Linked DNA regions of Macaca fascicularis. The protein of the gene in region 4 interacts with the protein of the main gene of each other region in a biochemical or structural test. Links are inferred from orthologs where the notes say so. Each region holds a gene or a part of one and is shown on either strand. Other genes may lie near its edges. The genes, in order: CASP3, HTRA1, S100B, MAPT, PRKACA, PTPA and PPP2CB.

Evidence for each region.
Region 1: of the proteins of MAPT (region 4) and CASP3, one has a biochemical effect on the other in vitro, tested with the Homo sapiens proteins (3 studies listed by BioGRID). The link is inferred for Macaca fascicularis from reciprocal best matches to the Homo sapiens genes MAPT and CASP3.
Region 2: of the proteins of MAPT (region 4) and HTRA1, one has a biochemical effect on the other in vitro, tested with the Homo sapiens proteins (2 studies listed by BioGRID and IntAct, with this or other methods). The link is inferred for Macaca fascicularis from reciprocal best matches to the Homo sapiens genes MAPT and HTRA1.
Region 3: the proteins of MAPT (region 4) and S100B form a complex in vitro, tested with the Homo sapiens proteins (2 studies listed by BioGRID). The link is inferred for Macaca fascicularis from reciprocal best matches to the Homo sapiens genes MAPT and S100B.
Region 5: of the proteins of MAPT (region 4) and PRKACA, one has a biochemical effect on the other in vitro, tested with the Homo sapiens proteins (9 studies listed by BioGRID). The link is inferred for Macaca fascicularis from reciprocal best matches to the Homo sapiens genes MAPT and PRKACA.
Region 6: of the proteins of MAPT (region 4) and PTPA, one has a biochemical effect on the other in vitro, tested with the Homo sapiens proteins (2 studies listed by BioGRID). The link is inferred for Macaca fascicularis from reciprocal best matches to the Homo sapiens genes MAPT and PTPA.
Region 7: of the proteins of MAPT (region 4) and PPP2CB, one has a biochemical effect on the other in vitro, tested with the Homo sapiens proteins (2 studies listed by BioGRID). The link is inferred for Macaca fascicularis from reciprocal best matches to the Homo sapiens genes MAPT and PPP2CB.

What each region holds. Positions count from the first base shown.
Region 1 is NC_088379.1:189,420,444-189,424,634, reverse strand, and holds the start of CASP3 (caspase-3), read left to right. Parts: upstream 1-1,391; 5' UTR 1,392-1,459; intron 1,460-2,134; 5' UTR 2,135-2,302; intron 2,303-4,191. UniProt on the Homo sapiens protein: Thiol protease that acts as a major effector caspase involved in the execution phase of apoptosis. Following cleavage and activation by initiator caspases (CASP8, CASP9 and/or CASP10), mediates execution of apoptosis by catalyzing cleavage of many proteins.
Region 2 is NC_088383.1:131,482,672-131,486,171, reverse strand, and holds part of HTRA1 (serine protease HTRA1), read right to left. Parts: intron 975-3,500; coding exon 875-974; intron 450-874; coding exon 245-449; intron 1-244. UniProt on the Homo sapiens protein: Serine protease with a variety of targets, including extracellular matrix proteins such as fibronectin. HTRA1-generated fibronectin fragments further induce synovial cells to up-regulate MMP1 and MMP3 production.
Region 3 is NC_088377.1:522,227-526,174, forward strand, and holds the start of S100B (protein S100-B), read left to right. Parts: upstream 1-1,148; 5' UTR 1,149-1,218; intron 1,219-3,769; exon of another isoform or gene 3,770-3,776; 5' UTR 3,777-3,777; coding exon 3,778-3,915; intron 3,916-3,948. UniProt on the Homo sapiens protein: Small zinc- and- and calcium-binding protein that is highly expressed in astrocytes and constitutes one of the most abundant soluble proteins in brain.
Region 4 is NC_088390.1:67,473,578-67,477,807, reverse strand, and holds the start of MAPT (microtubule-associated protein tau), read right to left. Parts: upstream 2,801-4,230; 5' UTR 2,668-2,800; exon of another isoform or gene 2,227-2,667; intron 1,981-2,226; exon of another isoform or gene 1,725-1,980; intron 1,215-1,724; exon of another isoform or gene 1,090-1,214; intron 1-1,089. UniProt on the Homo sapiens protein: Promotes microtubule assembly and stability, and might be involved in the establishment and maintenance of neuronal polarity.
Region 5 is NC_088393.1:14,514,773-14,518,272, forward strand, and holds part of PRKACA (cAMP-dependent protein kinase catalytic subunit alpha), read right to left. Parts: intron 2,041-3,500; coding exon 1,914-2,040; intron 1,825-1,913; coding exon 1,729-1,824; intron 1,636-1,728; coding exon 1,513-1,635; intron 1-1,512.
Region 6 is NC_088389.1:14,830,858-14,835,058, forward strand, and holds the start of PTPA (serine/threonine-protein phosphatase 2A activator), read right to left. Parts: upstream 2,801-4,201; 5' UTR 2,536-2,800; coding exon 2,505-2,535; intron 1-2,504. UniProt on the Homo sapiens protein: PPIases accelerate the folding of proteins. It catalyzes the cis-trans isomerization of proline imidic peptide bonds in oligopeptides. Acts as a regulatory subunit for serine/threonine-protein phosphatase 2A (PP2A).
Region 7 is NC_088382.1:34,010,167-34,013,666, reverse strand, and holds part of PPP2CB (serine/threonine-protein phosphatase 2A catalytic subunit beta isoform), read left to right. Parts: coding exon 1-138; intron 139-1,932; coding exon 1,933-2,106; intron 2,107-3,500.

The DNA.
Region 1 (4,191 bases), on a different chromosome or scaffold from region 4:
GATACATAAAACTAAGTATATTTCTGTGCAGAATATAGTCCCTATAGTCGAATAGGCGCAAGCGTTAGAAATAGGCTCTGCCATGGGGTCCCTGATCTGACTTCTGAATGTCAAGAACCTTTTGAAATCTGATGCAGAATGTCGTGCTCACGTGTTGGAGAATTCTTCTGCGAAAACGATTCACAGTTTGCTTCAGGGTCTAAAATGAGTTCATGACCCAAAATAGGAAGGGGATCAGTACGGCAGTGTATAGCACACCCTTCACGTAACTATTAATAACTCCATCTTAGGAAAAGACCCCATTTTATATTTCATAGGGCATTTGCCAACAAGGATACTATACTTTAATAAACAAGTAAAAAACTAGTCCGCATCCACTCAGGTAAGGACACAAACAAGCGCCCTCTTCCACTGTCAGTTCTCACCCGGACTCTGCCTTCGGCAGCTCCAAACAGTCTTAATTGACGCTGTCTCTGCAGAAGGACCTCTCGGGCCCAAACCAGGCTTCTTCTTCTCTTCTTCACTTCCTCTGGATTGGTTGTTCATCTCTTTGTCCTCTCTCTTTTTTTCCTCGGGATGTTAAATGCTACTTTGTTTGCTGTGGGATGCTTAACATGTAACGTTTATATATGGATTAAGTACACTACTGCGTACGGTTTGTAGTACTGACTGATGCGCGGAGTGGCTTGAGCCCGTGTGTCCAGCATGCGTGGACCTGCTTATTACTAGCCCGGCACCCTGGCGACAGGAGGCTAAGGCTTTTGATTTAGGGAGAGGGACCTGGGGGTAACCCCAAGAAAGGCCTCAGGTCACCGGAGGGGGGACGGAAATTACCGGAGGGCGTCCCGGCCCGCTCCTCTTCTTCTCAGAGCTCACACTGGGCAGCAGGCCTGGCCTTGTCTCCCTTCTAGGTCCCCGTTGGGCCTGGCGCGGTTTCCAACTCTTCCTCAAATTACCTCCAGAATCCCGCGCTGGGAGCGGAAGCCCGCGGACTCTCAGGAAGACCCAGCTTTCAAATCCGGGGCGGGGGAGCGGGGCCGGGCCTCGGGGGCGGGCCTCGGGGGCGGGCCTCGGGGGCGGGCCTCGGGGGCGGGGCCTCGGGGGGCGGGGACCCGGGCGCGGGCGCGGGCGCGGGCGCGGGCGCGGGCGCGGGCGCGGGCGCGGGCGCGGGCGCGGGCGCGGGCGCGGGCGCGGGCGCGGGCGCGGGCGCGGGCGCGGGCGCGGGCTGCAGCGGGCTGGCGGCTCCTGGGGCCCAGCCCGGCCCTGGGTTCTCGGGCGGGCGGGAGCTGGGGGACGGGCCCCAGGGAGGGGGCGCGCGGGGCCGACAGGGGCGGGCCGGGGGCGGGGCTAGCGCTGGAGCACGTCCCCAGGCGGCGGGCTGCTGAAGCGGTGCAGACGCGGATCGTAACGGGTGGCTGCTGCTGTGAGGCGGTTGTGGAAGGTGTGAGAAGGCTGTGCGGTGAGTGCCGCGCTCGCTCCGGGCGGTCAGCCCTGTCCCCGCTCCCTGCGTCCTCCCAGGCCCAGCGCCCGCCCGGGGACCTGGGCGGCGGAGCCTTTGTTTTGCCACCTCACCCGGGGCGGCAGCGAGCAGTGAAGCCCGGGGCCGGGGCCGGGGCAGCCAGGCAGCGGGTTAAGGCTTTTGATTTAGGGAGAGGGACCTGGGAGTAACCTAAGGAAAGGCCTCAGGTCATCGGAAGGGAGACCTGACCCGGGGGCGGGAGGCTTGCCTGGGGCCGGGGAGGCCAGGCAGCGGGAGGCCGGCCCGGGGGAACCGAGGCCGGGGCCGGGAGGTCGGGCACGGGGCACCGAACTCCGAGGGCCAGAGACCTGGCGGCCGGGCCTGGGGCCAGGAGGCCGGGCCAGGCAGCGGGAGGCAGCGGCAAGCTGGAAAGCAGACGGTGCTACCGCCGGCGGAGGAGTGGCCCCGGGAAGCGGTGCGGCGAGGGCTGGGGCGGCCGGGTGCTGACTGTGAGGGACTCGCCCTCGGGGCTGATCCTTCCAATTTTGGGCGAGGCTTCCGTCTCTGCTGCCTTCCATGCCTGGGGCCTGGACTATCCCGGGTTGACTGTGTGGTTTAGCTCTTCCAGAGAGCTAGTTGCAGGGTTTAAAATCCAATTCCTTTTCGGCCCTGCAGAGTTTCGTGAGTGCTCACAGCTCATCCCTGTGGCTGTGTCTCCGTGGCCACAGCTGATTGGCGTCGCCTTGAAATCCCAGGCCGTGAGGAGTGAGCGAGCCCTGCTCGCGCTCGGCGCTGTTGTTTTCAGTGGGTGTGCTCTGCACCTGCGTCTTTCCCCCATTCTCAGTAAGTGGCACCCAAGCAGGAAACCGGAAAACATCCTTCTCGCCCCCCTCTCGCCCACCTACTTCTTTTCCCGCTTAGTCACCAAGCCTTGTCGACCTTGTAAACGTCTGCCAGGTCTGTCCACGTCTCTCCATCTCCACAGCAGCCTCTTCCCTGGTCTCTCCACCTCCAGACCCGCCTGCTCCTTTGTAGTCCACTTTTCACAGCACAGAGGGATCTTTATGAAATGAAAGTCTAGAAAGCGCGTCCTTTGCCCTTAGGTTAAACCCAGCACTTAATACGGCTGACAAACCCCAGTACGTGTTGGGTCCTGAGTGCCCCCACCCCTCCCTATCTTTAGCACCGATTCACTTTCTGCACAGCAATGCTGACCTTCATAGCTAGTGTCTGCCACACCTCTGCATTCCCCTTCTCCCGCCATCACATTTGATTAGAAGTAAGAGCTGCTACTTAAACTTCTGTTTTCATTAAAACAGTTCAAGGTTCAATCTTCCTCTACTGTGTTCTTTCTGCAGCCAGCGTTCCCTAAGAGAGATGTGTCATATCCTCTGCAGTTGCTTGTTTACTGTCTTCCCTGCTAGATTTGCAAGCAAACTCCAGGAGGGATGGACTTGGTTTATCTTGGTGTCCTTAGAGTCTTTCACCAAATGCGGGCCCTGGCACAACGCAGTGAATGCCCATCCGTTGTGTTTTTACTTTTATGCCCTATCTAGAAAAAGTAGACCTGGTTTAGGATTATTTAGCAAATAATAGTTAGAAAAGAAATGGTAGAGGTGACATGGAGTCACTGAAACCATGTAAACCTGCAAGATAGCAGAAAGAGGGCCAGGAAAGGTGGTTAGACTAGACTGTATCAAAATGGGCTCAGCCACTGTGAGTGTGCGTGCTGTGGTTACATCATCTCTAAAAGTGAAATGTAAAGCTTAAATCATCTCTATCACAGCCCGATGCTTGGGCTTTGGTTTTGCTTTGCCTTTTTGTAAAAGAAGGTTTTTGAAAGTGAAAATATATTTTAGTGAATGCACGAACAGTTTATTGGAGTATGGCAATAAAACCTGTTCAGAGTAAGAGACATTAGACATTGTACCTAGTTAAATCAGGTTTGCTTTTGCTATCCTGAATAAAGGCCTTGACTCTTGCCTTTTGAAGAGACTGGCATCTGATATAGGCAGTTATAATGCTTCTTCACTGTTTTGCTTTCAGACCTCATTTAACACAATCTCCTACTGCTTCATCCCCCTACAAAGCAGTCTTTATTTTCATGAATGATATATTACATTGCTTCTGGTGCCTACTATTAGATGTTTAAGCTCTGCCCCAAAGATAGGAAGCACTGGTATTTGGGCCTAAAAAAAGATGTGAGAATTCTTAGATTTATATAATGTTCTTTCTCTGCATGTTTTGTTCTTACCGTCACATGTTGCCTGTAGGGCTTCTTTGCATTACAATAATGCAATCAAGTTACCTGATATGTATTGGACACCGTCTGGCATCTGCTTTGTTGAGCCACTTTTGAATGCCAGTGAGCATCGGTATAAGCCCTGCATAGAGATAGGGTTTGTCTCGTCCACTGCTTGATACACTCAGGGTCTAGTATAGTACTCTGCACACAGTTGGTGTTCAGTAAATTGTTATGGTGCAAATATCAAATGAATAGATGCTACTGAATCTGACTTTTGGCAGTTTCAGTCTTCCAGACAGTAGGGTTTCTTCAAGCGGTTTTAAACCTGAATCTGATTCTGCAAAGTAGTCATTCTTGGTGGGAGTGGTGAGCCTTTAATGTTATCTGTAATTTTTATAAAAAAGCATTCAAGATCCTCCATTTTACACTTATATAAATCATTTAGATCTGTGAAGGCTTTCCCGTTTTCTCCTTTTGTCCCTCCAAA
Region 2 (3,500 bases), on a different chromosome or scaffold from region 4:
TGATAAACATTTAAAACATTATTTTAAAAACTTTTATCTGGCTCCTTACAGAAGCTCTCCTGAGCCCCTGCCTCTCCCACACGCCCAGGCCATACTCAGCATCTCCTCAAGGCCCTCCTGTGACTGGTTTAGACTGGCTTCAGTGCCCCCTGAGAATCACCCGCAATCAGAGAGCTCTGGTGCCTTTGCCAAGGGTGTTCCAGGGCATCTGAGAACTCACCTCTGCAGGCGAAAACATACTCACCTGGTGGTCAATTTTGATCAGTGCAATGTCTGCTTTCTCATCCACATCCTTGATTTTGGCTTCATAGGTGGCACCATTCTTCAGCTCAACTTTGACCCGGTGCTTGTTGGTCACCACGTGGGCATTTGTCACGATCAGTCCATCTTCCGACACAATAAACCCAGACCCACTAGCCACCGGCACCTCTCGTTTAGAAAACGGAAGCCTAAAATCCAAAGAAGTACACACTTAAGCCTGCAACACCTTAAAATGAACGCTTCAACACATTGATTAATGAATGGGTTCTGCAACAGCAACACACACCTAGCAATCGCTTCTTTATATATTGGGCTTAACATTTAAAAACTAAACAATCTGCCAATTTTTTGCATGCATCAAACAATTTCACTTACAAAATATTCTTAGGGAATCTCTTCAGAGCCCGAGGTTCTTTAAACATTTAGAAGGGTTAAGACTGTAGATTCATAGAGTCGAATAGGGCAAATGTTTGAAGGGAGACACACTTATCTTAAAGTAGGAAGATATTCAGTGACACTTTGACACTTTAATGTGTCTCAAAAAGAGCTCTCATGTTTTGCTAGTGGCGGTGAAAGCTTCAGAGGTTATAGGAAAAAGGAAGGCTCTCTTTACTTGCGAAACAATTCAATATGAACCACGGCAGGGGCGATCTTCTCCACCACGTCCGCAATAAAGTTATATTTATGGCGCAAACTATTGGGATCTTCCTGCCCTGAGAACAAAAGCAAAGAATAGATACTTAATGATACTCTGCTGTGGTCACCTAGAGAAAGACATGGGTTAGAGGAAGCCAAAATGCATGCTCAGCCTTTGGAATTCTGAAGGCGGAGTGAGCACAGTTCCCCTGCCTGGGCTCAGCTGCAAATGTCCATCGAACTCCCAAGGGAATGCCCACCCAAGTAAGGCAGTAAAATCCACTCATGATAACCTCTTTGCTCAGGTTCTCTGCTCTCAACAGAGTCACCAAAAAATCACCTCTGCTCTGGTGTCGAGCAGAGGCACCAGCAAATGCTTCTACCTCACACCAGCCTTTCCAAGAAGCTGATGGCCCAAGTATTTTTTGTTGTTGTTTGTTTGTGTTTTTGTTTGTTTGTTTGTTTTCTTTTTGAGATGGAGTCACGCTCTGTTGCCCAGGCTGGAGCGCAATGGTGCAATCTTAGCTCACTGCAACCTCCACCTCCCGGGTTCAAGCGATTCTTCTGCCTCAGCCTACTGAGTAGCTGGGATTACAGGCACCCACCACCATGCCTGACTAATTTTTGTATTTTTAGTAGAGACAGAGTTTCACCATGTTGGCCAGGCTGGTCTCGAACTCCTGACCTCAGGTGATCCACCTGCCTCAGCCTCTCAAAGTGCTAGGATTATAGGCATGAGCCACCGCACCCAGCCAAGGGTCCCTTTGTGATGTGGTATCACCCTCTGCCTGCGTCCCTTCCCTGAGTCCCCACCATTACAAAGAAGCAACCCTCCTGAGAAACACCGCAGGAGCGAAGGAGCACCGGGGCTTTTCTCTAGGAGAGGCTCACCAGATGGGTAGATCTGAGATTATTACGAAGAAACATGAAGGCAAAGGGGCAGCTCCTATCTTTCCCACTGACACCCCAAGGCAAGCTGAGGCCATCGTCCGTCCCCAAAGCAGTTTCCACCATGCCTTAACCACATGTTCCAACCCTGCCCGGGACATCCCAGACAAAAGGCATAAGAGGTGCCTTAAGACTGTGGGTGAGAAAAAGAGGAAAATCAAACGACCATAATGCTTTATACCTACAGTCATGCACCACATAACATTTCAGCCAACCGTGGACCATAATGCCATTGTTTTTACTGTACCTTTTCTATGTTTGGATACGCAAATACTCACCATTGTTACAACCGCCTACAGTATTCAGTACAGTAACCTACTGTACAGGCATGCAGCCTAGAAACAACAGGCTCTACCATCTGGCCTAGGTGTGTGGTGGGCTATGGCATCTAGGTTTGATAGGCGCACTCTGTAACATTCCCACAGTGATGAAATCGCCTAACGATGCATTTCTCAGAACATATCCCTGTCACTCAGTGGTGCATGACCGTTTATACTACAGTGAGTGGCCCCACGTGGTGGGCGTTTCCAAAGCCACTTTCAACAAAGCTGTCACATGTCCCGATGTGAGGCTCTCACCCAGGAGGGCTAAAAGTTAGTTTCTGTCGACCAGAGGTGCACACCCAAGGTAACTGATTCAGAAACAGGCTGCTAGAGATTCAGGGTTCTGGGCTCCCATTTTGGTGGCACGGGTGGTGGCAGAGGCAGTGTGTCCCTGGAAGTGCACCCTTAGCCTACTACTCCAGCTCCTAATCTCTGCCACCTGCTGCTACCTCTTAACAAGTCTGCTCAAGCAGGCTGGAGGGCTTCCAGGCTGGTCTGCAGCTAAGAGCCATGCACCCCATTCTTCCCCCTTGGAATAGCTCAATGCTGCACAAGCAGGCTCCAGGGACCCGCACTCTTTTGTTAGCTGCTCGCTACGAATTGACAGGAAGCTTTTGGAAACTTTCAGAGCAATTTCACATGGTAATCTTATGTCTGTTGCGTTGAAAAATGAATAACTGTGGCTTGTATTTCCTGTCTCATATTTTGTATTTTGTAGGTATTTTGTGTCTCATTTACCAACAGGCCTGTGTGCCTGCCCCTAACACACATGCATATACACACAGAGATGCACAGGCACACACACACAAACTCACACATACACACTATGCATACACACCCACACACGTACACACATAAACACACCCACACACATACACCCACACTCATACACAGACTGTCACATAAACACCTATACACACTTCCACACAATTCATATACTCACAGATGTGCACATACACACAGAGTCACACATATATACATACAAATGCACACACACACACACACACACTCACATACATGCCTCTCTTACCACTAAGGTGGCAGCCCTTCCCCAGGCTCTAGGCTGTAAGTAGAAGCTATGAGACGTCCCAGCCCTCTTGTGACCCATCACAGTTTCATACCCACTGGCTCCCACATCCCTACCACGCTGGGTCACAAGGGGCCATAGTAACCCAACTTGACACCATGGGGCACAGGGACATCTGGAGGACCACCTGCCTCTCCCACGCTTGCTTTCTCGGAAGTAAAAGCGCATCTGTGAACAAAGGGCCCCCTTCTGTCCTGGCCCCTGACCTCTGAGCTGCTTTATTTAAAGATTGGAATCATCTCTTT
Region 3 (3,948 bases), on a different chromosome or scaffold from region 4:
GTTCCTCACAGGAGCCTGGGGCAGGCTGACCCACGCAAGACCACAGCTCTCGGCCCTGTGCTATTTCCAGGGCACACTTATAGATCCTGAATGGTAAAGAACTTCCTAGATAAAGCAATGACAGCAAAACAGCCGTGTACGCAGATATCTCGTGGGAAACCCTTTCACGGCCACTTCGAAACTGGGTTGGGAGAAGGACCTGATGCTGGGTCAGGCATCGGTTGGGGACCATGGACACGTTTGTAGAGTTTGGGCCAATGCTTTTGTGTAATTTGTCAGAAGGAACACCTACTTCCTCACTCTTGTGAGGAAGAACCCACAAACTGGCCCCCGTGTTCAGAGGCTCAGGTCAACAAGTTGAGGGGACAGCTGGACTTCTCCTTCTTCAGGCTGGCTGGAGCCTTCAGCAAGGGGTACACCGTCCACACGCCTCTGTAAAACAGCATTCGCACAGGACATCTCTAAGGCATTGTCCAACTCTGACAGTCTGTGACCTTCTACCCTGGGATGGAGGGAAAGGCCTTGGGATACAATCCACACATCATGTTTTCCCCTAAAAGTACCACCCTTTTTAGTCCCTGCAGACACTGGGTTCAGCAGCTTCTCTGAGGCAGCCCCGTTGAGCCCAGGGCCGACCACAGACAAGCACTACCGTCCACAGAACCTCACGCCCGGTGGGGCCAGACGTGGAGGCTGGCAGAGGAGAGAAGCTCCAGGGGCCTCTCCATTAGAAACCAGCTTGCAGGCCACTTAATCTCCTACGCTCAGCCTGTACTTGCAAGCTGCTTGTTCTTGGCTGCACATTTGCTTTGTTTGAATCAATTAATCCAAGTCTCTCTCCTCTCCCTACCCCCAACCTTGCCTTTAGGGGAACATCAATATTCATGTAATAAATAAATCACACAAAAAGCTGACTCCCCACTTCCTGCCCTACAGGCCCTTTTTTCTTCCTCAGCCCATGTGCAATCCTGGCTCCCAGCAAGTCCCCGGGGCTGCTTGGTCAATGCAGCCCTGTGTGCAGGCCTGGCAGCCCTGCCACCCCCGCCCTCGGCCCCCATTGGCTGCCATGGCCTGCAGTGGGCTGCACCAGGGTTCATCCGTCCTCCCTGGGCAGACGGAATAAGAGGCTGCCTCTGCCCACTAGACCTGCCGCCCAGGACCCGCAGCAGACACGAGGCCCGCAGCAAGGAGACCAGGAAGGGGTGAGACAAGGAAGAGGTGAGAAAGAGCCAGGCCAAGAGGATGCTCAGGAAGAAATGGTTGTTTTCGTTTGGGTGGAAGGGAATGGAGGGGTAGAAACTAAATGGTAGCTTAAAAACCCCCTTTAGGACAATTGGCAGCACTTCAGAAGTGTCAATAGGATGATGTGTTTTAATCTCTACATTATTGCTTCTTTGTGGACACCTGACTGCATCAGCCCTAGGCAGCTAGAGGTATTTTTCATAAATCAGAGAAACCTCAGGTCTCGGCCCAGAAGTGATTGCTGACATTTTCCCAGTGGTGCTACAAATACTACCTCTCCTGTAACTACTTGAAGAGTAAAGATTTTGCTTCCCACTGCAGCTGGAAATGATGGAGAACCTAATGCTAGTTTAGTCCATATCCTAAATAAACCCCTTTTCTCCTTGTTACTTTTTCCACCGCCCTGGGTAAGTAACTCTTCAGTTTTCCAGTTTCCCTCAGTTTGAAGTGCCAGGGTGACAACAGCCCCAGGACGCCACTCAGAAATTACGTAACAGTTACAAATAAATTGAGTCAAAGAAATTGGGGTTTTGGTGGGTTTTAACTTTCTTCAGTCTCACAGTTTCTTAGGGAGGTTGAACCCCTAGAGGGATCCTCACACGCTAGGTAACGTGTCTTTCTAAGGAGTTAAAGTTCAAATGTTCTCTTGTTCTCAATATTAAAAGATTAATGTAGGACATTCACAGAATGTGAGAAAGAAACATATTTATTTCCATTTCTCTTAAAAGATAAACTATAAACCATCAACTATTTATTAAGTCAAAGGGAAAAATTTAACAAGAATTTTTTAATTGATTTGTAGCGTGGTTATGAAGAAAACCATATTTTCTAGTGGTTTCTATTAGTGTTCTAATATATGGAATACATGTTTTATGCCTTCCTTTGTAATAATCTCGTTAGTCATAGTTCATAGAAAAACAATTTAACCTCCTTTTCCCCAAATCATCATGGACTTTGAGGAGCATCAGAATGATGTAAAAGTGTCTTGTTTTGTTTTGTTCAAAAAAAATACACACACATATATCAATAATTGAAAACTTGAGTGCAAAGAATAAGAAAAGCATGAAATGTTAAAGATTTTAATCCATCTTAACTGTTCTATTTATGAATTACCAAATTTTTAGGGACTCAAGAGCAAAATAAAGTACACTGATTATTAATAGAATGCCTTTAGCAAAGATCTAGCCAGCACAAAAAAATCTTCAATCCTGTTTCCTTTGGAGCATCAGAAATAAATAAAATTTTTAACATCTAATTCCAAATTATTTTTAAGATGTAAGTCATATATTCAACATGGGAATGATTTTTCAACACTATTTATTAATTTATTTTTAATTATAACAGTGCAAATGTTCTTATTTGATGATTAGAACTCAAGGCCAAAAGCTGGTAAATTTCTCGGCCTGCCCATCTGTTTTGTGAGACAACTGACAAGGCATCCTTTGTAGAAGGCGCCTCATTCCCAGACTGATGAGATATTTCCTTGGTTTGCAGGCTGTGGCGTAAGGTACTTGCTGTGAGGGAGGTCGGAGGGATCTTACTTTGACAGCTGCAGAGAAACACCTATTCCTGCCCCGTCCCAGTCACTGCAGTGAATGAACCAGCCTTTCCCTGCACTGGAGGTAGAATGCAGGCTCAGCAGCTCAGCTTCCTGCCGGATTCTGTCCCTCCCTGCCACAGAACCACACGCATTTAATCAGTTAAACTTAGGATACATTTTTTTTCCTGGTAGATCAAATAACTTTCACTGTTATTCTTCAAAAAGATTGTGGCAATTCTACCATATTTATTTTTCCAGATGAATTTTACAGCTGTTTTTGTCATGTCACACATCCAAAAAAAATTCCATCATTTTTATTAAAAATGATTTAAATTTACATATGAATTTAAAGGAAAAACTTCCTACATTTTATGTTCCTCCGAATCTCTTGGAAGGACCTGCATTTTTCTTCCTAAACTTAGTCTTAGATCACATGCTATTTCTATATGAATAGAATATTTCGCACTGGATTTTCTATTTCTTTATTGATAGAATATAGGAATGCTCTTGATTTTTGTCTTATTTTGCTCCTAGTCACTGTCTCACTTTCAGATTGATTTTAACAGCTTGTAGTCGATGGTTTGCTCACCTGCACTCTACCACCTCATCTTGGAGCCTTACAAGAACAGAGAGGGACCGTGTGGGGAGGAAGCAGAAATTTAACCCGTGAATTCCTTTGCTGCTCTGCGTCTGTATTTTTGCTAAAGATTCCCTGTTGGACCAACCCAACCAGAAGCCAGAGGGCATGGGAATATATCCCTGTGGCCCACAGAGACAGAGAAGGCTCACATCTGTCTAAGAGGCAGGTGGAAGGATTGATAAAGGTACAAATTCCCAGAATGCCCCTCCAGGTCATGCCTGCTGTTCTGAGCTTGAAAAGAGTGCCAGGGCCAGTCCATCCCCCTTGTCTGGGTTGCGGTCTGTATTGATAACCTGTGAAATGTTTTATGATGAGGTATAGATGAGAAGGCATCTTTCCTTTGCGAGCCCCTAGGATGTCTGAGCTGGAGAAAGCCATGGTGGCCCTCATCGACGTTTTCCACCAATATTCTGGAAGGGAGGGAGACAAGCACAAGCTGAAGAAATCCGAACTGAAGGAGCTCATCAACAATGAGCTTTCCCATTTCTTAGAGGTGAGTCTTGCTTTTTACACTTGACACCTTCTC
Region 4 (4,230 bases):
GCAGTGGCCCAACCAAAGCGCCAACACATTTCAAAATGGAGCGAAATCGCAGAAGCGCGGATTGTGCTTTGTTCCCAGCATTGGGCTAAATGCGCTCATCCCCACCGGGCTCCCTTTCCTCCAACGGCAGCAGGTGACATCTCTGCTCGAGATGGCAATAGGCAGCCTTGACCGTGGGCTCCCCTTTTCCAGGGCCGTCCCGAGACCCTCACTCCATCTGGAACCGGAATCCCGCGCCCAGCTCTGTCTGGGGGCGAGGGAGGAGAGAAGATGCTTGAACTGACCCCTGAGCCGCTCTGCAACCCCTCGCGGTGGCTCAGCCATGCGGGAAGCCTCGCAGCACTCAGGCTCCAGCCCTCGACGCCACCGTCGAGGAAGGTCAGCCTGGTCCCGGGCGGGCTCTAGTTCCCCAGTCAAGCCATTCCCCGGAAATTCAGATCAACCTGGGCAGCCCGCGTGGAGGATTCAGCTCCTAGATGCTCGTTCGTCTCAGAAGTGCGCCCCCCCGCACCAGTTTTCAGCGATAGAATTAACCAGAAAACGGCGCGTACCAGGTTCATCACAGGAGGGCGAGGCTCGGATGCCTTGGCCAGGAGTTCTCCTTGCAGCCCCAGACTCGGTTTTGGGGGTACGGTGAACTTGGATACGGGTGAAATCCCGCATTTACGATAAATAATATTAATCAGTACAGACATAATATTAATAAAAATACACCCAAGGGCTGCCTATCTGCGGCCGCCAGAGGCCAATTAGAGTCTCAGGTGCAGGGGTTGGGGGCTTCCTCCCGTGTCCTCCAGGAGGCCAACTGGGCGCGGCCCCGCCTACCCCAGGGTCCCCAATCTCCCCAGGGAAGGGGTGGGGCCAGCCCCAAGGTCCCCTCTCCGGACGCCTGTGGTTCCCATGGCAATTCCCCCTCTGTGCCCCCTCCAGTGGGCTCAGAAAAATGGGTGTGGCCGCAGCACCAGTAACCTTATGCCCCCTCCTCACATTCTCCCGCCAGGCGAAGCAACAGGGCGTAAAGCTGGAGAGGCCCCACCGGGGCTCCCCACCCATCCCCGAATGGGTAGCCAGCGTCCCTCGTTGGGCAACCTGGTGTGGCTTGGCCCTCAGGACACTCGGGGTGTTGGGAGGGGCGTGATCCCTCTGCCGCCGCCCGCAGCGCAGCACGGAGACTCGAATCCCATCCCTTCAGAAGCTTCCTGGCGCCCGCAGACTCCGAGACGAGGCTGCGCGCGGTCACGCCCGTTCCATGCGTGCCGGGGGTCGGGGGGTTGACTCGGGTTCGTCGACCCCAGCAAGCCTCGAGATCCAACAATGGGCTCGGAAATGAGGAACGAAAAAGGAAAGAGGTGCTTGGGGGTGGGGGGAGGTTGGCTAAACACCCTCAGAATAAAAGCCAGAAACCAGGGCTGGGAGCGCAGATCACGTAACCTCTACAGACAAAGCAAAGAGCCCCCGAAGAAGGTGCTGGGTGAACGCCCCCAGCGCTCACGCCCGCAGCAGCAAAACGCCAAGATTTCAGCGCTGATTGTCCCCCTCCCTTTAATGCCAGGCCCCGCCCTGTCCTACGAAGCCCGGCCACCCGGTTTGGCATGGCACCGTAAAGACGTGACACGCCGAAAAAAGATGGCACCTCGGGAGTGGGAGGAGGCACAGCCTATCCTCCCCCCTCCTCGCCCACCAGGATCCACACCCACTGCCGCAGTGAGGGGCGAGCCCTGCGCGCCAGCCCCGCGCCTCCGGCAGGGAGCGCACACGCCGGGCACCCTGCGCGCGGAGCGCTGAGAAAGAAACCCGCCCCGAGATGCACCTGCAGCCCCGCGCCCGTCAGTGCATGGCTGCTGCTGTGCCTGCCCGCGAGCGGGGACCGGCGGCCGCCGACTCCGTCCACATCGCCAGGCCAGGTGACCCCTGCCTTTGCGAGCGTGCACACTGGGATCCTCGCACTGTTCTCAGGCACGGCGCTGCTCGCGTCTCTGTGCCAGGCGTGCGCAGGGGGAAGGGCAACTAAAGTGACAGCGCCTGGACCCCTCCCCATCTCCTCGATTCCTCCCAGCCCCCAAATGTCCCCTACGGGTTTCTGAAGGAGGAAAAGGGGAGGGGGCCGGCCCCCGCCTAAAATCAGGGGCAGTGAAGGCCCTGTCGGAATCACTGCTCGGGAGGTAAAGGGAGGGGCGTGCAGGGAGTCAGTCATCTTTTCTAGAACCCGATCCACATCTTCCTTAGGGCTGATGGCGAACAGCGGCAGGGACAGCGGATTTCAGGTTCGGTTTCGGGGGTCGTTATCGGACCCCTCCCCCCCACGCACGCCCATTGCGGCAAAAGACTGCGGTCGAGAGTGAAGGGCAGCCCCCTCCCCCAAGTCACCGCCGCCGCGCCCCACCCTGCCGGCACGGCCTCCACCTGGGGTCGGCGCGAAGCGGGTGAAGACCCTCCAGCACACACACACGCGCGCACTCAGGCGTGCGTGCATCCCTTGCTCACGTCCCTTTCCAGGCCGCCCTGGCCCCAGCCCCCGAGCAGGGGAGGCAAGGAGGGGCCCTGCGGTCGCCCCGACCGATGCCCGGCGCACGAAGCCCCAGTCTGTGGAGGCTGAGGGCGAGGGGCGGCGGCGCAGGGGTGCACAGGGGCGGACGGCGAGGCAGATTTCGGAGCCGCGGCGCTTACCTGATAGTCGACAGAGGCGAGGACGGGAGAGGACAGCGGAGGAGGAGAAGGTGGCTGTGGTGGCGGCGGCAGAAGGTGGGCGGTGGCAGCGGCGCTGCTGTTGGTGCCGGAGCTGGTGGGTGGCGGTGACTGCGAGGGCGCGCGCCGGCGAAGAGGGCGCGTTCCCGAGGCCGGCAGGCGGCGCAGGCGCGAGCAGCGGGAGCGCGAGCCTCCCCAGGGGAGGGGGCGGGCAGCCCGGCCTCCGCGGGAGCCTTCTCCTCCGGCCACCAGTGGGCGCGCGCGAGCGCCCTGCCGCTCGGCTGTCCGGCGCCTCCCGGCTGGTTCCTCTCGGCGCTGCCCTTTCCCGGTGCCCCTCCCCCTACGCCTCAGGCCGCGGCGCTGACCGCAGCGCGCACGCGCGTTCCATGGCGCACGCGCACTCTCCGCCTCCCATAGCTGGAGCCTTTGTCTCGTTGGAGGGGTGGGTGTCTTCCTTCGGGCCCTGCGGGGTCGGGGCAAGGCCAGTGACTCCGCCAGTGGGTCCCCTGCCCCTTTCCTTTCAGTCAGCCTGAGGCGGTGTCCTCTCCTGGAGAGGTCCTGAGCGACCTTCCACGTGGCCAGCTCCCCAGTCCGCCCACCCCGACCCTCCGAGTCCCGAAATCGCCCCCCTGGCTAAGGTCGCTTTTCCCCAGGCTGCTTCCTTTCTCCTTGCTTTTTTCCCATCTTTTTTGTTACTGACCAAGGTGAATCCTTTCCTTAACAAATTCACTTAAAGCAAGCTAACTCAGTTACAATACAGTAGAACTGTACTTTAAAAAAAAGTATTTGGATCTATGATGTATGTAACCGTGACGCTAGAAAAGAAATCTTAAATTAGACCAAATTGAAATAGTGCTTAACACATCGCAGAACATTTGCACACACAGTTATTTGTATCACGTCTTTTGAAACATCTTTATGCTGTAAGTAGAGTTTGAAGTCTGAATGTTTAAGGGCCAGCTGGAGATTGTCCCCTGGAAGAGGCATCTCAGCCTGAAACTGACCAGTGGTCCTCATTCTACTGGTCACCCAGGCCCCAAGCTTCGGCCTTAGCTTGGATTTTTCATTTCCCCAACGTCAAATTTAAGCCCTGGCAGTGGGCGGATTTCTATGTATGGGGGTTTAGGGCAGCCGTCTCCTCCTAGGGAGATGGGAAGTTGTCTTGAAGCTCCAATTTGCATGGTTCTTACATTATTTTTTAAAAACCAACATATGTTATAGATTAATAGAAAAAGCAAGTAAAATGCTTTATTCACACTGAGTTTCTGGAACTGACCTTTTTCTTTCTTTCTTTTTTTTTTTATCCATATTAACTTTATTTTTAAACAGAGGGGCATATATCCAAAGAAGTAGGAGTGAGAACCACCGTGGGGGCTTGCTGAAAGCGATCTGCCCTAGCCTTCTGACTTCAGAATGTCTCATGAGCCAATGGCCTGGGGATGGAACTGCCCCTTGATGGTGTACACCTTAGAAAAGTCAATGGAATTGACCTTTTTTTGGAGACAAGGTCTTGCTCAGGCTGGAGTGCAGTGGCACAGTCATAGC
Region 5 (3,500 bases), on a different chromosome or scaffold from region 4:
GGAGTCTTGTTCTGTCGCCCAGGCTGGAGTGCAATGGTGTGATCTTGGCTCACTGCAACCTCCGTCTCCTGGGTTGAAGCAATTCTTTGGCCTCAGCCTCCCAAGTAGCTGGGATTACAGGTGCCTGCTACCATGCCCAGCTAATTTTTGTATTTTTAGTAGAGATGGGGTTTCACTATGTTGGCCAGGCTGGTCTTGAACTCCGGACCTCGTGATCCACCTGCCTCAGCCTCCCGAAGTGCTGGGATTACAGGCATGAGCCATCGTGCCAGGCCTTCATCTTTCCCTTTTAGTGATGCTATGTGTCCAGCCGGGTACCCCACTTGCCTGAATTTTTTTTAAAAGACTGTGTCTGGCTCTGTGACCCAGGCTAGTTTGCAGTGGCACAGTCACAGCTCACTGCAGCCTTGAACTTCTGGGCTCAAGTGATCCTCCTGCCTCAGCTTCCTGATGAGCTGGGAATACAGGGGTGCACCATCACGCCCAGCTAATTTTTAGCTTTTTTTTTTTTTTTTTTTTAAGAGATGGGGTCTGGCTATGTTACCCAGGCTGGTCTGGAACTGCTGGCCTCAAGCCTCCACTTCCCAAGGTGCTGGGATTACAGGCGTGAGCCATTGCACCCAAATGCAAAGTTTCAAAGCCAATCAGTGGCAGAGCTGGGACTGGGGTCCGGACTGGGGCCCAGGCTGAGCCTGAGGATGCTGCCACCACAGTGTCGTGACTCTGGGCCAACCAAAAGCTCCTGTGTAGGAGATGCTGGACCAAGTCGGGGGATGGTCGGGTCTTCCCAGCAAGGTGGTTGAGCTGAGGGCACAGGTGGGGTCCCCAACCTCTCTCCTGCTCTTAGTGCCTACGATGATTACCTACTCACCAAAGTGTGATCTTGGCCAAGACACATCCCTTTTCCCAGCCTGTTTCCTCACCTCTCCTGCAGAGGGTGCCACCATCTCAGGGTGTGACTGATGGGGGGATTCTAGGGCCTGGTGGATGGCAGGCACTTTGCGCCTGTCACAGATGTGAGCTGAGGTGGTTTCAGCACCCCTCATCCGAACCCTCAGAGTTAGGCAAGTCTGGGTTTGGGAGAGGAAGCATGGGCTGTAAACGCTAAGTGAGAGCACTCCTTGGTGAGGCTGCGGACAGCACCTGGGAACAGGAACCAAATACACTGGTTTTTCTGCCTTGGAATTTGCGAAAACTCACACTAACTGGGACAAGGAGTGACGAAGAGGGTTGCCTGGCAGGGCGGTTTGTGTTCTGCGGCCAAGAAGTTTCTGTGAGGCTTGGGGTTTTGGAAGCTCTTGGGATTCTGGAACCGCGGGGTTGGGGCTGGACAGTGAGGGGGCCTCAAGGTGTTGGCCTCAGTGTGGCCGGTGCGTCCAGCTTCACCACCTGGCCTGACTTAAGGAACTTCTAGATTATTCTGACAACAAGCAGGGCTCCCCAGGGAGTAGGATGAGTGAGCAGGGGAGGGTCTGTTTCTTCCAGGGCTGTGTCCCCGCAGCCGGACCTCACCTTCCCAGAGACGATCTTCTCATAGATCTGGATGGGCTGGTCTGCGAAGAAGGGCGGGTAGCCAGCAGCCATTTCATAGATAAGAACCCCCAGGGCCCACCAGTCCACAGCCTTGTTGTAGCCCTGGAGCAAGATGGGGGGGCACAGGGTGAGGAGGGGGCGAGCAGGAGAGCAGAGCCGGCCTCAGGGGAAGGGGAGGGCTGGGGAGGCGCCTACTTTGCTCAGGATAATCTCAGGGGCCAGATACTCAGGGGTGCCGCACAAGGTCCAAGTGCGGCCCTTCACGCGCTTGGCGAAACCGAAGTCTGTCACCTGTGGGCACAAGAACAGGCAGTTGGCAGGAAGGGAGGGTCCAGGCCACGGCTTCCCCAGGGCTGCCCCTCGCCCGGCCTGGTGGGCACCTGAATGTATCCCTGCTGGTCAATGAGCAGATTCTCCGGCTTCAGGTCCCTGTAGATGAGATCCAGCGAGTGCAGATACTCGAAGGTCAGGACGATCTGGGCCGCGTAGAAACGGGCATGGGGCTCGCTGATGGGGACAGATGGAGAGGTGAATGTCAGTGGCCATGCCCCAAAATGGTCCAGCAGGTGGCCCTGCAGAGCCTTCCCCAGAGGAAGACAACTCCAGTCCGGCTGTCAGAAATGCGAGGCACCTGATTCTTAGATAGCCCGACATGGGAAATAGCCTGTAGGTCCACCCACAGGAGAATGGAATCACAGACTGAGCTATAGTCATATAATGGAATTCCACTCACCACCACCACTGCCAACAGGACAGCCCATGCATCCACTCAACAACGTGGCTGCATTTCAAACTGATTATGTTAAAGCAAAAGAAGACACAAAAGAACATGAATGATTCCATTTATATCATGTCCACGCCCAGACAAAACAAAGGCACGGTGTTTGAAGTCAGAAAGGACAACTGCCTTTGGCGGGGAGGTGACGTGTCAAGAAAGGGATTTGGCCCGGCGCGGTGTCTCATCCCTGTAATCCCAGCATTTTGGAGGGTCGAGGTGGGAGGATCACTTGAGCCCAGGAGTTCGAGACCAGCCTGGGTAACATAGGCAAGATCTCACCTCTGTGTGTATGCAGAGATGTGTGTGTGTGTGTGTATATATATATATTTTTTTTTTCAGTATTTTTTTTGAGATGGAGTCTTGCTCTGTTGCCCAGGCTGGAGTGCAGTAGCATAATCTTGGCTCACTGCAACCTTCGCCTCCTGGAAACAAGTGATTCTCTTGCCTCAGCCTCCTGAGTAGCTGGGATTACAGGCATGCACCACCACACCTGGCTAATTTTTATATTTTTAGTAGAGACAGGGTTTCACCATGTTGGTCAGGCTGGTCTCGAACTGCTGACCTTGTGATCCGCCCGCCTTGGCCTCCCAAAGTGCTGGGATTACAGGCGTGAGCCACTGCACCCGGCCTCCACCTCTGTATATTATTGAAAAAAAAAAAAAAAAAAAAGAAGAAGAAAGGGATTCAAGGGAATTTTCTGGGGTGATAGAAAAGTTCCATATACTGTTTTAGGTGGAGGTTAGGTAACTGTATACAACTGTCAAAATTTGTGGCATGGAGCATTGAAGAACTGTGCATTTTATTGTATGTAAAGTGAATCTATAGTTTTCTATCTAAAATACAACTACAAGGCCAGCATGGTGGCTCATGCCTGTAATCCCAGCACTTTAGAGGCCGAGGGGGACAGATCACCCAAGGTCAGAAGATTGAGACCAGCCTGGCCAACATGGTGAAACCCCATCTCTACTAAAAATACAAAAATTAGCCAGGCAAGGGGGCGTGCGCCTGTAATCCCAGCTACTTGGGAGGCTGAGACAGAAGAATCACTTGAATCCAGGAGGTGAAGGTTGCACGGAGCCGAGATCACGCCACTGCACTCCAGTCTGGGTGACAAGACTGAAACTCCGTCTCAAAAAATAAAATAAAAGTACATATGTAAACTTATAAGTTAATAAGACAAATTTTTAAG
Region 6 (4,201 bases), on a different chromosome or scaffold from region 4:
GCCAGATATGTGTGACTCCAAAATCCAAAGTTTTCATCATTACACTGAGTTAAGAGGAACTTTCTTGGTCGGGCGCGGTGGCTCACGGCTGTAATCCCAGCACTCTGAGTGGCCGAGGCAGCGGATCACTTGAGGCCAGGAGTTTGAGACCAGCTTGGCCAACTTGGCGAAATCTCATCTCTATTAAAAATTCAAAAAATTAGCCCGGCATGGTGGTGGACGCCTCGGCAACTCGGGAGGCTGAGGCACGAGAATCGCATGAACTCAGGAGGCGGAGGTTGCAGTGAGCTGAGATTGCACCACTGCACCCCGGCCTAGGTGACAAAGCGAAACTCTGTGTCCAAAAAAAACAAAACAAAAAAGAAGAAGTTCTTTCCAGCTGTTCCCAAAAGTTGTTTCAAATTTCAAAAAAGGACCATGTTCAGGGACCTGGCTCTTTTCAGCCATGGATAACCTCCCTGAGCCTTCCTCTCTTTCAGGACACAGGTTCTCTCTCCTCCCACTCTCCACCCCCATTCATCCTAAGGGACACATTCATCTCACTGATAACAGTGGTTGCCTTATATCTCCTCTCTCCTGATATCATTACCAGAACTTTTTTTTTGGGAGATGGAGTCTTGCTCTGTCGCCCAGGCTGGGGTGCAGTGGCTGGAGTGCAGTGGCGCAATCTCAGCTCACTGCAACCTCCGCCTCCTGGGTTCAAGTGATTCTCCTGCCTCAGCCTCCCAAGTAGGTGGGATCACAGGCATATGCCACCACACCCGGCTAATTTTTGTGTTTTGAGTAGAGACAGGGTTTTGCCATGTTGGCCATGGCTGGTCTCAAACTCCTGACGTCAAGTGATCCGCCCGCCTCAGCCTCCCAAAGGGCTGGGATTACAGGTGTGAGCCACCCGGCCCAGAGTCATTACCAGAACTTCCAAGGCAAGCTTGTCCAACCCGCAGCCCAGGGCAGCTTTGAATGTAGCCGGACACAAATTTGTAAACTTTCTTAAAACATAGACCAGGTGTGGTGGTTCACACCTGTAACACCAGCACTTTGGAAGGCCAAGGCAGGCGGATCACGAGGTCAAGAGATCGAGACCGGCTAGGCGCGGTGGCTCATGCCTGTAATCCCAGCACTTTGGAAGGCCAAGGCAGGTGGATCACGAGGTCAGGAGTTCGAGACCAGCCTGGCCAATATGGTGAAATCCCGTCTCTAATAAAAATACAAAAATTAGCTGGGCATGGTGGCACGCTTGTAGTCCCAGCTACTCAGGAGGCTGAGGCAGGAGAATCGCTTGAACCCGGGAGGCGTTCACACCACTGCACTCCAGCTTGGAGGACAGAGTGAGACGCTGCCTCAAAAAAAAAAAAAGAAAAAAACCACAAAACCAGTATGAGACTTTTTTCTTTTTGTGACTTTTTTTTAGCTCATCAGCTCTTGTTAGTTACTGTTAGTGTATTTTATGTGTGGCCCAAGACAATTCTTCTTCCAATGTGGCTTAGATAAGACAAAAGACTGGACACCCCTGTTCTAAGGGCACACACACAGAGGTTTTGTACAAAATGTCTGGTTTCGAATGTCCTAAGAAACAGAACCCAGCTCTTTGTTCATCTCTTTTGTGGGGCATGGAGAGGATGCCTTTTTTGATTTTCAACATTTCTCCCTCCTGAGATCTTCCCAGGGACCACAAAATTGGAGACAGGATAGCAGGAATATCAAATGATTTCAAAACATTAGCTGTGTTTGGTGGGCCAACCTACTTGCCTCTCTGTCGGGAATGTAAAAGTTATCTATGGCCAGTCCAGCCTCCTCCTTCTCCATGAAAGGGGTCTCTAAGAAGATCCTTCCGTAGCACCTCCATCCCAGTTATTTGAGATGAACTAAAAAGAGGCTACAGTGTAAATAAGAGTTACCGAAGGGGATGCCAGAGAGAGACTAACCTCCTTGCACAACCAGCCTTTTAAAATTAGGGGTTTAGACACCACGGGCAGTTTCCCTCAATAAATTCTCAGTCACGGAAACCAGAGAGGAGGAGGATGAGGGGTGAGCAGGGCGCGGAAGCTGAAACTGGGGGCGAGGCAGGCGCGGCCCACTGAGCACCACCCCATCCCCTGAGCAGCGACTAATAAACACGGCAGCCTCCGGAATCACTTTCGCCCCCTTCCCTGGCAACTTCCCCACCAGGTTCACGGCTGACTTAGGCACGCGCTGCCCAAAGAGGCAAAAGGCCCCCCTTATGACCACGGTGCTGCCCACCCGGCATTCGGGTAGCCCAGACTCCCACAAAACCCAGAGCTGCGCCCCAATCACCACCCCTTTGCAGCCCCTGCTTCCCTCCCAGCGGTGCCCCATCACCCACCTCTCCCCTAAGGCCATTCAACTCAGTTTCTCCTCGGGGCCCCTCAGCTTTTGCCCCTCCAGCTCCTCCGTGTCCTGACTCTCGCCCTCCTGAGCCTCCCACACCTGGCGCCGCCCTCACCCTACCCGACCCCGGCCCGGCCTGGCCCCGCCGGCCTTACCTGGTGGCGGCTGCCGCTCGCCCTCAGCCATCTTGCTCCGGCCAGGAGCCGGCCCGGATGCCTGCAGTCCCCTCTCGCCTTTCACGCTTGCACCCACCCTTCCTCTCCCCGGCTCCACCAAAGGCTCCGGGTTTCCTGAAGACAAGTGAGCGCCGGCCGGCTATAACCGAAAACCGACAGTTAAAGTCACCCCAGGGACGACGGCCGCCATATCGGTGCGGGGCGCTCAGGGAGCATGCCCATTAACGGCCGGCGCGCGGCGGACGCGCGGACTCGGGCGACGGCCATGTCAGTGCGGGGCGCGCGGGGCGCATGCGCGCCAACGGCCCCCAAGCGCCAGGCCCGCTAACGGCTGCCGGAACGACGGGCGCCGCGGCTGCCATGATTGTGCGGGGCGTCAAGTTTGGGTTGTGGACAGCCATGTTTTTCCGGGGCAGTCTCCTGTCCCCGAGTACCACCTGTCATCTTTGTGGGTGGTAGTGACCCTAATCCAAGGAATATGAGAGGACATTCTCCGGACAACACGGTTGTGTTTTCCTACCACTCTAAGAGTTACGCTCAAGACGGAGTTGGAGAGGTGCACACCGCTACCTCCAACAGCTTAGAAGACACGCGGGGGCGGGGGAGAGACAGCTGGACGGTGACCTCCTCCTTCCTACTCCACAGATCTCAACGCCTTGCGGGGCCTCCCAACCAATGACTCGCCGTCGGCCCCGCCCCTCTGTCCCAGCACCCGCCGTGGCCCCGCCCCCAGCTCGCAGCCAGCCTACTGCGACCCGCTACCGGGAGACGCCCCGCCCCTCCTGCCCCTCCCCAAGGAGACCCCGCCCCATCGAGGCCCCGCCCCATCGAGGCCCCGCCCCCGCCCCGCAGCCAGCCTCCCGGGCTCCGTTGCAGGCTCGGGGCCCGCTACCGGCCCAGGCCCCGCCTCGCGAATCCTCCTCCCCGGTGCCTGCCCGGCCCGGAGGGTGGGCGCGGGGCCGCCTCTACCGGCTGGCGGCCGTAACTCGGCGACCTTGGCCCGAAGGCTCTAGCAAGGACCCACCAACCCCAGCCGCTGCAGCGGCGGCGCGGACTTTGCCCGGTGTGTGGGGCGGAGCGGACTGCGTGTCCGCGGACGGGCAGCGAAGATGTTAGCCTTCGCTGCCAGGACCGTGGTGAGTGCGGCGGAGCCAGGGACTGAGGGCCCTGGACGGCGTGGGTGGCCGTGCGGTTGCGCCCGGGAGCGGAGACCTCGTCCTGCGGCCGCTATCCGACCCGGCCTCCAGCTGATGGGGTGGGGTGGGGTGGGGTGGGGTGGGGCCAGGCGGGCGTCCCAGGTTTGGCAGAGCAGGAGATTCGGGCGCAGCGTCAGAAGTGGGATTGAACCCACGTCCTGGAGCATTCAATTCCAACGACCCGGGAAAGACAGGGGGCACCCGGCTTCAGTTAGCACCCCCACCCTTAGACCCAGAGACAGGCCGGTGGGGGAGAGAGACCAGGAGCGTCCAGACCCGCGCTCACTCTCCCAGTTATTCTCACACACCCGTCGCACGCTTAGGCCAGAGCCACTTCTCCGACCCTGTCCAGTTAGTTGGTCAGGCTCCTTTGGTTTATCGGATGGTCCCTGGGGAATTGTGTGTGGCCAGAGAAACACGCAGAGGCATCAAGCTAGGCTGCTCAGAAAGGCCTCAGAACTGGCAGGTGGCAGCCCCATG
Region 7 (3,500 bases), on a different chromosome or scaffold from region 4:
CATGGTCAATTTCATGATCTTATGGAACTCTTTAGAATTGGTGGAAAATCACCAGATACAAACTACTTATTCATGGGTGACTATGTAGACAGAGGATATTATTCAGTGGAGACTGTGACTCTTCTTGTAGCATTAAAGGTATGATTACTGAAATTCAATTTTTTTTTCCAAGACTTAAACCAGGCAAAAAGCTCAGAATGACAGTATTGCATATCATCTGTTTTATGGTCTTTCAGTTTATAGCCCCTTAAAATAATAATTGGTTTTACATCTTTTTAAAGGAGAGATGAAAAGGATAACTTCTGTATATTCCTTGTAAATGTATCATTCTCTTGAATAGCTGAAGTCTTGGAATCATACTTGACTTTATCACTTATCCGTCATATTGACTCAATAAACAAGTCTTTTTAAATCCTTGCTTTGAAAAGTCTGTTCCTGTCTCTTTCTATTTTTACCACACCGTTTATCACTTCACAATTCGATTGTTGCAATAGCTTGGTAACTAATATTTCTGCCTCCAAGATCTGATCCCCCCCCAAATCCACCTGGCATATGCTGGCCAATGAAATCTCTTTTATTTAACAATTTTTTATTGTTACTTCCTGTTGATTGCCTGTTGCCTATAGAAACAAACTCAAACTCCTTGCCTGGCCTTTTATAGTCTAGTCTGAATTTTTGCCTGCCGGCAGTTGGTAGCATGAACTCTGGCTCAAATCAAAGTTTCTTCTTCATCAGTGCTCTGGACTCTGTGTATTTCCATATTCGATTTCCCCCACGAGTTACTCTGTCCCTGATTTCTTACCTTTCTGCCAAGACTCAGCTCAGGTCTCACTTCTTTCATGTAACCTTCAACCATTTTAGCCTTATTCCTTCTACTCTAAATTACTATGAGGAAACTTATTCTCCCAGCCCTTATTTATGCTGCAAAAGTGGCTTACTGCCTTGTATTACTTACTTTACATATCTCCTTACTGAGGTTAGTCCCTCAGCAGCAGAAGCCATATATTACACAGTCATGGGTCACTTAACTACAGGCATACATTCTGAGAAATGTGCCATTAGGTGATTTTGTCATCTTTGGAACTTACACAAACCTAGGTGGTATAGCCTACTGCACACAAAGGCTATGTGGTATAGTCTCTTGCTCCAGCCAACATCATACATGTAATCTGTTGTTAACAAAAACGTTGCCCAGCACATGACTGTACTTGTGTAGACCTGGCATCTGGCTTTCTAGCACCAAACTTACGTTAGACACATAACGGATGCTTAGTAAAATCTGTATGAACTGAAGTAGATTCTTGCAGCTTTTTGCGTAATTTGCAGAATCCAATGCTTTTTCATATTTCTTATCAGACACATTGCTAACTAAATAGTCGCTTATGTTTTTGTTTTGTAATAGAAAGGAAACTATTAATACATTTGAATTCTTGCCCAGTTTTGTCAAGGGCCTGTTTTTGTGTTATTATTGGCAAATCCGATCTTCCTGTGGGAAATAAAAATGGAAAAGGGAAGAAGTTAATCTGTAGAGTAGTTGATCTCAGCTTCAAACCTGTGATTTGCACTACTCACAGTAAGAAGTCATAGTGTTCTAGAAAGATTTAGGAAAGTAATAATAATTTGATGATGAAAAAGATAATAGAAACAAAGTATCAGATACAAGTCTATTATAGTAATATAAGTATTAGTCAAAGGTTCTGATGAGGGTGGTCAAAACATGATGAAAAAGGATGATTATAATAAACATGTCAAATGTTAACCAGTAATACCTGGTTATGAATAAGCAAGATTTTTTATTTCGAAAATGAAATTAACATTTAATATACTGGTGGCCAAAAGCGCCGTGTTTAACAATGGGTCGGAGACTAATGTACTTCACATGACACTAGTAAAAATGGGATTTTACTATGGGTTTTACTCCATTTCTTCCAGGTGCGTTATCCAGAACGCATTACAATATTGAGAGGAAATCACGAAAGCCGACAAATTACCCAAGTATATGGCTTTTATGATGAATGTCTGCGAAAGTATGGGAATGCCAACGTTTGGAAATATTTTACAGATCTCTTTGATTATCTTCCACTTACAGCTTTAGTAGATGGACAGGTATGTATGTGTGTGCTCACATCTTGGGAGGAGGGGAGGTAAATGAAGGCAAAGATTGACTATTGGTAAGCTAGGGTCTAGATTCATATGACCTGTGTTTCTGCATCTCCTTGGCCTTTTCCTCCTTCCCTTATACTTAAAATTTCAAAGCAGGGAAGTGGATAAGTTTCACGTACATTTGGACCAGCAAATTTTCCTGTTCTCAGATATGTATGTAAATCTTTTGACCAAAGAATATGCTGTGCTTTTTAAGATATCGATAAACATTATAAATAAATGCTTAAGACACTGATGTGTAGTACTAGTAAAGCAAGATGTTATTTAAAACTGTCTCTGCGTACACACACAGTTTTTGCTGGTTACCATGAATAACTTCGCATTTCTATTTTCATGGTAATTGCAAATGTTATATTGTGTATTACACCTTCTTCCCTGAGAAGTGAATGCTTGGCTGGGCACAGTGGCTAGTACTTTGGGATGCCAAGGCAAGAGGATCGCTTGAGTTCAGGGGTTCAAGACCAGCCTGGGCAATATAATGAGACCCTGTCTCTACAAAAAAAATTTTAAAATTAGCTAGGCATAGTGGCGCATGCTTGTGGTTCTAGCTACTCAAGAAGCTAGAGGTGAGAGGATCTCTTGAGCCCAGGAAGTTAAGGCTGCAGTGAGCCGTGATCACAGCACTGTGCTCCAGCCTGGGCAGCAGCAAAACTCCATCTCAAAGAACAAAAAAAGAAAATAGAAGCAAATGCTATTTCTGCAGTGCAGACAGATCATGAAACATTCAAAAGTATAAGAAGAAATTATGCAAATTTCCTATTTCAATTTCTAGAGATAATCACTGAAAGCATGAACTGATTTAAATTTAAATATAAAACAAAGGCTGGGCAAGGTGGCTCATACCTATAATCCCAGCACTTTGGGAGGCCGAGGTGGGTAGATCACCTGAGGTTGGGAGTTCAAGACCAGCCTGGCCAAATGGTGAAACCCGTCTCTACTAAAAATACAAAAATTAGCCAGGGATGGTAGTGCATGCCTGTAGTCCCAGCTACTTGAGAGGCTGAGGCAGGAGAATCACTTGAACCTGAGAAAGACAGAGGTGGCAGTGAACCGAGATCGTATCACAGCACTCCAGCTGGGGTGACAAAGTGAGACTCCATCTCAAAAAATAAAATAAATATAAATATAAAACATATAATAAAACTCCATAATTCTTAAATTATAAAAGCCCAGAGTTGTCAAGAATGTGATGAATTCTCTCTTAGACTGCTTGTGGGAATATAATTTCGTTATAACTTTCTCTGTGTAATCCTGACAGTCTTTTTTTCTCAGCTGTGATTTTGGACACTGCCATGATTAATTTGAAAGGACAATACTTTGCCTGGACTTGTTAAAAG